2 linked regions of the Nothobranchius furzeri genome follow. The protein of the gene in region 1 interacts with the protein of each later gene in a biochemical or structural test. Links are inferred from orthologs where the notes say so. Each region holds a gene or a part of one and is shown in the gene's direction. Other genes may lie near its edges.

Region 1 (4,463 bases):
ATTCTACATGTTACTGTTCAGCCTTCTGATGCTCATGCACACACACAAACACACACACACACACACACACACGAGTGTTGGTGAGCAGCTGCGTCTGACTGCTGACGCTCCGTTTGTGTTTTTATTTCTGCAGTGAGACAAACTCACCTCACACCGTCCAGAGTTTGTTCTTTAAAGCTTCTATTAAATCCACCGTGTTGACGTATTTTAACAAGTTTCCTCTACGCTGCAGGAGTTAAAGTTTACATTCTCAACTCAACTTTATTTGTAAATTGCGCCTCACCCTTTCTTTCCACCAGAGCCGTCAGCAGCACGTTACTGCAGCAGCACGTCATAGCTGCTGATAGGAACCGTTGTGGTCAACAGAACCTTTTCCACTGGAGCCGTCGGCAGCGTGAGTCGGCCGCGTCTCAGGAGCAGCATGTCGCAGCCCTTACACGCCAATTCTATTTTCTACGCGCGCCGCCTCTGAAACGGGTCAAGTTCGACATTTTTGGGGAAGGAAAGACAGGAAATTGGATGCGGAAACGGAGCGAAGCTCCCGAGATTTTCAGAATAAAGAAACGTACTGCCTTCCGGTTGCTTTACTTTAAAAAAAAGTTTCTAACTGTGCGGCCCCGTGAGAAGTTATCACCTAGCTAGCGGTCTCCTTTGTTTTTCAGGTCCGTATTGGCGATTATAAAACGGACAGAACATAAAACACAAACCTTTTGGAGCCATGTTGTAGTTTTCTCCTGCTTGTTGTTGTGTTTACTGATGAAGTCACTCGTGTGACTTCGTGCTCTGTCGGTGACAGCTGCTCCCCTGCTGCTTCGCGTCTCGTGGGAAGGGCCAAGCAGCAGTTTACGCGAGCAAGACGTGCTGCTGCAGTAACGTGCTGCTGACGGCTCCGGTGGAAAGAAGGGGTCACAGGTAAAAAGATGCCACCAAGGCGCTACACTGATCAAGTAAAAAACATAAAACATTAAGTCCAGAAAATAAAAACATTGTATCACAAGATACAGATAAAATACAGTGAGTGCACAAATCACTATAAGTAAAATAATAAAAACTAGTTAGAAAGGTTAAAAGACAGATCATAAAAGTAGGTTTTTAGCCTTGCCTTAAAAACCGCAACAAAGGTGAAGGCCCTTATGCTGAGAGGAGGCTCGTTCCAAAGCTTAGGACCTGCCACAGCAAAGGCCCTATCACCACGTGTCTTTAGGCGCGTTCTTGGGACCGAGAGGAGCATGAGGTTCTCCGAGCGGAGTGACCATGCAGGGGTGTACGGTTGAAGCAGTGACACCAAGTAAGGAGGGGCCAAACCATTTTAATGTTTTAAAAACCAATAAGAGTAGTTTAAAACGAATCCCTACATCAACGGGTAGCCAATGAAGCGCAGCCAGGACAGGAGTTATGTGGTCATACTTGCGCCTGCCCTCTAAAAGTCTGGCCGCAGCATTCTGGACCATTTGCAACCTGGCTACTGAGCCCTTGCTCACACCGAATAAAACAGAGTTGCAGTAGTCCAATCGCACCGTAATAAAAGCATGGACTACCGTCTCAAGATCATGACGTGACAAAAATGGTTTGATCTTTGCCAACTGACAAAGGTGGAAAAAGGAGGTGGAGATCACTCCATTGATGTGGGTATCAAAACTAAGGGCGCTATCCAGTTTAACACCAAGATTAGTCACCGATGCAGTCAGATGGCCATTAAATGACCCACAGTCAGTTAGGGAATAATCACAATGTCTGCTTGGAGCAAACAATATAGCCTCTGTTTTGTGATCATTTTGGCTCAGAAAAATTTCACTCATTCAGGTCTTGATCTCCCTCAAACAGTTAGTAAGAATAGAAATAGAGAGACCACTTGACGTGTTCAGAGGCAGGTACAGCTGACAATTGTCAGCATATAGGTGGAATTGAACTCCAAGCTCACGACAGATGTCACCTAATGGCAGAATGTAAACAGAAAACAACAGAGGTCCCAATATCGAGCCCTGTGATACCCCACAGGCTAGATCAGAGTACTCTGAGGAATAACTTCCCATCTTTACACACATTTCTATTTGTCAGGTATGATCTAAACCATTTCAGGGCTAACCCTGAAATCCCGACATAATGATGTAGATGGTGAAGCAGCACTTCATGATCTATCGTGTCAAAGGCAGCCGTGAGGTCCAGCAGAAGTAACATTACGGAGTAAAAGTTCGGCAGACGCGTTTGTTTATATTTGGCCGCTGCGCGTCGGGTGGGGGGAGGGGGGGGACGACTCAGTGCTGCACACAGACAGCTGGTGTGATCCGCTCTGAAAAGCGGATTCCTCTTCCGGTCAACATTCTAGGAATCGAAACTAGGAATTGAAATAAAAAAACTTTGAACGATTCCGGGAAAAACTAACATTTGGTCCCGGTTCCAATCGATGCTCGATGCCAACCCTAGTAATAACATAATAAAGTTCAAATTTCTGAGACTGAAAATGTAAACTTTGTATTTTCTTTATTTGTTTATTTCTTCAGGTTCTCTTATGAAGGTAGATGGAAACAAAAGCTACAGACTTCTGTTGACTTCCCACTAGATGGTCTGGACCTGATGCAGTATGTTATTGGACCCAAGCAGAACCTGAAGAGATACAACCTTTATGGAGTTTCTGTAAGTAGGAACAACACAATGCTCAAAACGTCAGCTAAAACTATGCAGTGCATTTATTTAGAAACTTTAATGCAAACCATCTGTTTTCCCCCACCACCAGAATCACTATGGAGGCTTAGATGGTGGCCATTACACAGCATACTGTAAGAACATCCACAAACAGCGCTGGTACAAGTTTGATGACCACGAAGTGTTTGAAATCTCCTCCTCTTCGGTCAAGTCCTCTGCAGCCTACATCCTGTTTTACTCCACCCTGTGACGCTGCTGCAGGACATCAAGGGGGAAACTACATTAGAGTAGTCATGCTCTAACTTGGAGGCCATTTTCTTTTCAAATAGCTCTGAGGAGCCTGGTGCACATAGTTGAGGGTGAAGTGGTCACATATGTGCAAGAGAGGACAGTGGCTTTGAGATCCTGACAGGAGAACGTCGGAGGCACGCTGTGTACTGCTTCAGCTACTAGAGGAGCCTTTAGCTGTTCAAACATGCTGTCTGTGCACATTACTGACCAACCAGAGACTAAACAGATGCTCATGTTAGTCTGACCTTCTTACTAGAGCTGTGCTTTAGGGCTGATTCAGATCATCTTCACTCTCATTTCTCTAGTAGGCAGCGTAGACAGCAGAACTGATCTTCAGCTTCCTTGTACTGCTGTTACACATGAACATGCACGTTTTTAATGCTGAAGTGGCACATTCAAACGTTTGGTGTAAATACACAACAGCGAATTCTGTTTGGTGACCAAATCTCTCTCTTTTTTTTTAACCGTAGCAACCGCCATGATATCACTATATAAATTTAACTGAATCACATTTGTTTTGAGGGTTTAACTGTAACGACTGATATAAGAGTAATGGGAGAAACTGTGAGTGATTTTTTTTCTAACAGATTTCAGACTTTTGCTAGTTCCTATTAACATCCTTCTTACAGAGTATGCAGTCAGTTTTAGGTTGTACAGCGGGTTGTTAAGCAGCAGACCTTTATCTTCTTCTCAGAATGCTTTAAACAGATACCAGACATGGGCTGGTTGTCTACCTGCTCCTTTAAACTTTATTCTCAGTTAGGTGGATGTTACTTTTTCAAATATCAAACTCAAACACTATTAAAAAAACTGGGAAAAGTTAAGTTTGAGATTCACTTATTTTGATTTTCCTCCAACCTGATGGATTTTTTGTGTAATGAGCTGGAAAAAATGAAGACATTTTGTTCTGCTGAGCGATTCTGTGTCGACGCTCGATGCCTGCCAGGCTAACTCACAGACACGACTTCTAAACGGACCAGAGATGCGAAGGTGCAGGATCTGATCATTTCCTGGGTCAACTTCTCTTGCCTAGCATGACATTATAATCCTTTTTCTTTTTTATTTGTACATTTGTTTTATTTCCTAATGCTCTACAAAAATTGTTTCAAATATAACGAATATATTAACCTCAAACAACTCATGACTATTTATTAAAACTACTACAAATTCATTTTGTGAATGTGCATTTTTGTAAATTTCATGTTGGCTCAAGTTCACAGGCTTCTGATTACATTTCTGGCAGGTACAAAAAAACCTTTTTAACAAGTTTGGATTAAATCTGCAAAAAATGAAGAACACGTTAAATGAGCGATGGGTTTTTTCCTTTGAGCTGAGCTCAGAGTCCTTGGATCTTTGGTTTCTGGAAAGGCTTGTGGCTGTAGAGCAACATGTAGACATCTGGAGATTGGATGTGGGTGTCCTCTACTTCTCTTAAAACTGCGTCGTCAAAGCAGTGCCACGATTGGGTTGGGCCATTGTAGCACACAGCGGTGTAGTGACCCATGTTCAGATGACCCATGTGGTTCTTG
Region 2 (5,569 bases), on another chromosome or scaffold:
TGTTTCAGGTAACATTTCAGACGTGGTTAAACTAGCACAGTCTCATTCGGTGACTTTATCAACATCAGTAAAGCAGAAACCGTGAACGCAACTGCAAGAATTTGCAAGCACACAATTCTAGCTTGTTTTTATACAATACATGCTCTGAACAGTCCATGGGTTGTGACTGTGAGCGGGGTAAATGTGACCTAACTGGTTGGAACAGCGAGGAAACAACGCCTACTGCTCTGTTGAGCAAGAGTTTAAAAATCAAACTGATAAAAACCACACAAAGATTTATTAGCTCAGAGTTCAAGACCTTTGATTGTTTCAATTATAAAAATCACTTTATAACTAAATGCTTTTAACATAGATTTGCAGTAATATTTATATCTCGAAGAAACCAATGATCACTATAAATTTTCCAATAAATATTAGTTGATGGAAACAATTATACTAAAGAGAAATGTAAGAATCTCTACTGTAGATCTTGAACTACATACATGAACTGAACTGAAGGAGGTTGGTTCAGTCCTCATAAGCAAAGACTTTGATTGGCCAAGTCTTATGGCCTTATCAGGCACAGCCAATCATTTTAAAACAGCTCTGGTTAAATATCACCTAAAAAAGAAAGAAGACCCATTGAGATTAAGGTTTTTAGGCCCATTTAAAGGAAATGTCATCATCTGGATGCCACACGTTAAAATTGTGTTCGAATTTCATGTGAGAAGCCAGATCACACACACGTCTTTAACTTTACTGGACTGATGGTGAAAAAAGTAGCACAATTAGTAAGAAATAAAATAAAATTGAATCTCAACATAACCAGCTGTATTTCCTGTTGTTTCTGGATTGTAAACACCATGGCGTCCATGCCAGCTGGCTGTCTGTTGCTCATGTTAATCTGTGTAAGCCGTAAGAAGTCGAGGATGAAATTATAACACCACAATGTCTCCAATTATATTTAAGCATTTTAATACTTATGTATTATCGCATCAAATTGTTTATTTATTTTTTTATTATTATTAGGATTTTCGGGTCCTGACCTGCATGCAGCGCAAATGCACACACGGTCCAGCTCACCAGCAGCGTTAGCACGAGGAAACACATTACATACCCAGCTGTCATCACAACATTGTAAATAACCAGGTAGGCCGTGGCCAGGGCACTGGGTCCCTTCTTCTTCTTCGAGCCCGCATCACCGTGGGCCGCCTTGCTGGTCCCCGGAACAGCTGCCGACATGACTCCAACCCTTAACGGTCCTAAACGACGGTGGACGTCAGGCTGAGTCAGGAAACAATCGGGAGTTACACCAGGAAGTGTCGTCACAAAACAAGATGGTTCTAAACTTCTTAAACTTCCGGTTTGAAATAAGAGCAGGCATCGATGAAGCAGGGGTTTGGGGGCTGAACTATCTTGTAACTCTTGAATCACGTTTCTGCTGTGCGTTTGTCGTCCTCCTGTGATGATTTTTATTATACAGAAATCTCCAAATCCATCTCCATCAATTTTCTGGCAATTTCACTTTGCATTTGCATTGACTTGGTTTTAAAGAAAACAAAACGACATTTAACTTCCTGAGACAAGATAAATACGTATTTTAAAAGATAACGTTGAACACATTTATAATATGTAAATAAGACGGCACAACACTACACTGCCTCCTGATAAAACATCAGAAATAAAGAAAAAAAAACGGGTTCATTTTAATGTATTTTTATAAAGAATAAAACAACTTTGTAACAAAACCACGATTTAATCAGATTTAAGGCTCAATCCAAAAATTATTTTAAAAAGTATCTTTTTATAGCTTACATTTGCTGCATAGTAGTGTTGGAACACAAGCTTTTCCTTTTTTATTCGTAGTTTTTAGTGGACGAAGGTTTTATGTATGTATGTATGTATGTATGTATGTATGTATGTATGTATGTATGTATATATATATATATATATATATATATATATATATATATATATATATATATATATATATATAGTAATGTAAGTTTTATATAAGTGTTGGAGCTGCTGTACGAAGTGAATTTCCCCACTGTGGGACCAATAAAGTCTATTTTATTCTATTCTATATTATATAAATACTTTATATATTTCATATATTTCCTAGCAAAACTACTGAAGTGTTTCTCTAGCCTGGCAAGCCAGACTAAATCAATGTACTACTACTAGTGTTTCTCGGCTCTCCTCCCAACCGAACAGGCATTTGGGAAATAGCTATGACGACAGGGGTGCCGTTTTTGGCACAACACCGGAAGAGCAACTAGTGCAAGTTTAATGGACAACAAGGAATAAACGCTTGTTTAAGTTTAGTCTCGATAACACGCGTACTCTTCTTTGTCGGAGCCTAGTTTCTTTTGAGTCGCTAAAATGCCTTTATTTTCCCAAAATCCCTTCGATCAAGATGTTGGTGAGTGACTTGTTTTATTGTTGGTCTTTTCATGGACTCAGAGCAGCTGACGAGAAGCTAATGCTAACGTAGCTTAGTGAGCTCTAAAGTTACGATATTTCAGCTTTGGCAGTTTTAATACGTTCAACCCTGACAGGTTTTGTCCACTTTTTAACGTTTTGTTGACTTCTTGTCAACAACTTTTATCTAGTCTGAGGGTCATTTCGGGCGTTGTTTTGTAACCAACTTAAGTCTGACTCATGATAACAGCTAGCTCTTTTCCTAAAAAAATAGCAAGGGCCCTTTAAATGTGTTAGTTTTAACCGAGTACACTTTAAAATACTCGTAAATCCAATTAAATAAATTAAGATTCATAACTGAGACACAGGTGGATGATTTATTTGTCATAATTTACATTTCAAATTTTAAATTAAATTTAATTTAATTTCAAGTTGTTTGTCAACACAAACTAGTTTATGGATTTTTCTCTTACAAACGTTTCTAATAATATAATGTTGTGCTTTATGATCTGAAATGGTAAGTGGGACATAAGCATGTTAAAGATTACTTTCTGGCTCAAAATGCTTTTGTTTCAAAATTGTATTGTTATTATCATTAAAAATAATAATATTGGGAGTACATTTTTACCAAACAAACAGAAAAAATGCAGGTCTGTGAAGGCTTTATCATGTTTTATTTTAGATATTTTTGGTTTTATTTATCAAATTGCCCAACAGTGTGTATTAAAAACCCAGCAGGGGTTGTAGTGAGGTGTAGATCTCTGGAAATTAAACAAATATCGCTGATGTGTTGTTTCCACTCCCTGTTACCTCAGGAGCAATTCGGCTCAATTCTCAGAATCACGTTTATTCTTATTTTTCTCCACATGTGTTTGCTTTTGTGGTTCAGGGATACTTGTCTCACTAATAACAGTAATATTAGTTCTCAGCTCAACTTAAACATTTTCTTATTAAGCCTGTGTTTTAACTGCGCTCTGCTGGGATGGTTGAATCCAGTTAAACCATTATCAATTTGAAATATTTTATTACGCTCTTTTCATAAAGTTTGGTGCTTTAGAGCTATTCAAATGAATATTAAACGGAGATAATACCAATATTTAAAACCAACATGAGTTTTTTTATCATCAATATAAAATATTAAGACTTAATTAAAATGTTAATGATAATGTAGGAAATTTAGAATACAATATTAAAGTTCCAGAATTGTGGCTCAACAGTTTGTGTCATTAAGCCACAGCAGATGAACGGACTTAAAACAACAGACAACAATGTGGTAAAAAGTGAAATATGAAACTATTATTATTCAGTTCAGTGCAGGTGAATTAAAAATCAACACAAAGTGGCTAACATTATTCAAAGCAGTTGTGATATTACTGCTGCCAAGTCTAGATGCATCTTTATTGTTCTGAATGTAAATTCTCTTCATCACTTCCTCGTTTGCCGGCCTTTCCCACCCCAGCAGCAGCATGCTTAGACCAAACAATGGTGCTCTGTGGACTCAGGAGTCATGACTGTTGTGCCAAATGTTCATCTGAGGGAGGTTGTTGGGAGGTGGTTGTGCTTCATTGTGTGACCAAAGAGCCCGGTGGCACTCGCCTGCTGTGGCTGGCATCAAAACCCAGCAGCCATGATGGCAGCGAGCATGTTTTCTCACTTGACCATATGCACCATTTCCAGAGAAAGCAACAAATGAAAACAACACAACAGATGACTGGGGGCTCATCATGGACATCTGCGATAAGATTGGAACGACAGCCAATGGGTGAGCTGGGCAAAGACACTGAATAATTCCTGGAGTGATTTAGTGAATGGAGTCTAATGCCACACATATATGGTTTGCTAACAATCCCATTTCCTGGAGTTAATCTGGTTTATCTCCTCTGGTTCAGCCCGAAGGACGGCCTGAAATCCATAATGAAGCGAGTCAACCACAAAGTGCCTCATGTCGCCATGCAGGCTCTCAACGTGAGTTTCATTCTGCCTTTTAGGCTTTAAAGTTAAGAAAATAGAAAACTAAGGTGAGTAAATAATTTGTGTGAAATTTTCTGCTCAGACTAGCAGTTGGCTTGTCTATCACCCCAGGTTTCCATCAGATGCATAAGCGACGGGTAATGTCTTCCAAGCGAAGTCCACAGCTAACGGTCACCGTTCTAGTCTGTGGGTGTGTTTCCCCCAGGCGTGCAGCGGTACGCCTCAGACACGTTGTAGTGTAGCATCGAGGCCTCCGGTAAATTTACGTGCTGCTGGATCTGTCTTACATGCTATGGTTTCAGAACATGCTCAGCAGCTCCGATCAGTCCAGACAGGAAGTCAAACGTGGCAGTAGGGCTGTGCAATAAATTGAAAATGTATCTTTATCGAAATTTGTCACTTTTATCGATCATTTTTCTCATTTCAGTAAATTAGATAATAAACAAATGAAAAGATGTGTGTAGGTTGGCAACGTTCATGGCCTTTTAAGAAGCTGTACCACCTTAAGTCACGTAAAAATGTGATTTAATGTAATACATGTGACAGCGCCATCTAGTGGACAACATTTGTTTCTGCACATACCTGTAGTTATCGTCCATTTATCATTATCGAGGTGAAATCCTCAATATATCGTGATATTGATTTTAAGCCCTATCGCCCAGCCCTACGTTGTAGCTGTTTGTCCTAGCTTGTTATCATGTGATCTGGTGAAATCACATGTGATCTTGCAGTTCTCCTGTGATTTTCATTATCTTTTGAGATTAGCTGCGTGGAACGCGTTCGCAGCCACCGCGTGTCTGAAACAGTCCTGGTAGGAGGAGACGCTCTGCTGACGTTGTGGTGAAAACTCATCTGTTAGGTTTTGCATCTGGTGGAGAGCCCCATTAGATCAAAGAGAGTGAGTCCAAATCCAGTGAGCTAGCCTTCATTTTTATTCCTGCCCTCGCCTCAGCCTATCGCCTAGCAACCACAATGGAGATAAACTGATGACAAAGGGATACTTTGCAAGTTTGTCATGCTTTTAAATCATTTTCTTGCGCCAGCATGTGCTTAAACGACCCTTTGCAGGGTTTATGAAAGGCCACCCAGATCCTATCGCCCTCTGTGGCCAGAATATTCCACTTCCTCTGTTGGGATACGGAGCTGACATACCTGGTGCTGCAGTCTGGTTACAGCCCGTTTCCTGTATGTTAGA

What was found.
Region 2: the proteins of usp8 (region 1) and stam2 form a complex in vitro, tested with the Homo sapiens proteins (3 studies listed by BioGRID, with this or other methods). The link is inferred for Nothobranchius furzeri from reciprocal best matches to the Homo sapiens genes USP8 and STAM2.

What each region holds. Positions count from the first base shown.
Region 1 is NC_091749.1:41,744,392-41,748,854, forward strand, and holds the end of usp8 (ubiquitin carboxyl-terminal hydrolase 8), read left to right. Parts: intron 1-2,501; coding exon 2,502-2,634; intron 2,635-2,734; coding exon 2,735-2,893; 3' UTR 2,894-3,007; downstream 3,008-4,463. Other genes in the region: uncharacterized protein, read right to left, coding at 4,271-4,459. UniProt on the Homo sapiens protein: Hydrolase that can remove conjugated ubiquitin from proteins and therefore plays an important regulatory role at the level of protein turnover by preventing degradation. Converts both 'Lys-48' an 'Lys-63'-linked ubiquitin chains.
Region 2 is NC_091754.1:32,010,516-32,016,084, forward strand, and holds the start of stam2 (signal transducing adapter molecule 2), read left to right. Parts: upstream 1-2,221; 5' UTR 2,222-2,364; coding exon 2,365-2,404; intron 2,405-4,080; coding exon 4,081-4,165; intron 4,166-4,292; coding exon 4,293-4,368; intron 4,369-5,569. Other genes in the region: hacd2 (very-long-chain (3R)-3-hydroxyacyl-CoA dehydratase 2), read right to left, coding at 1,097-1,221.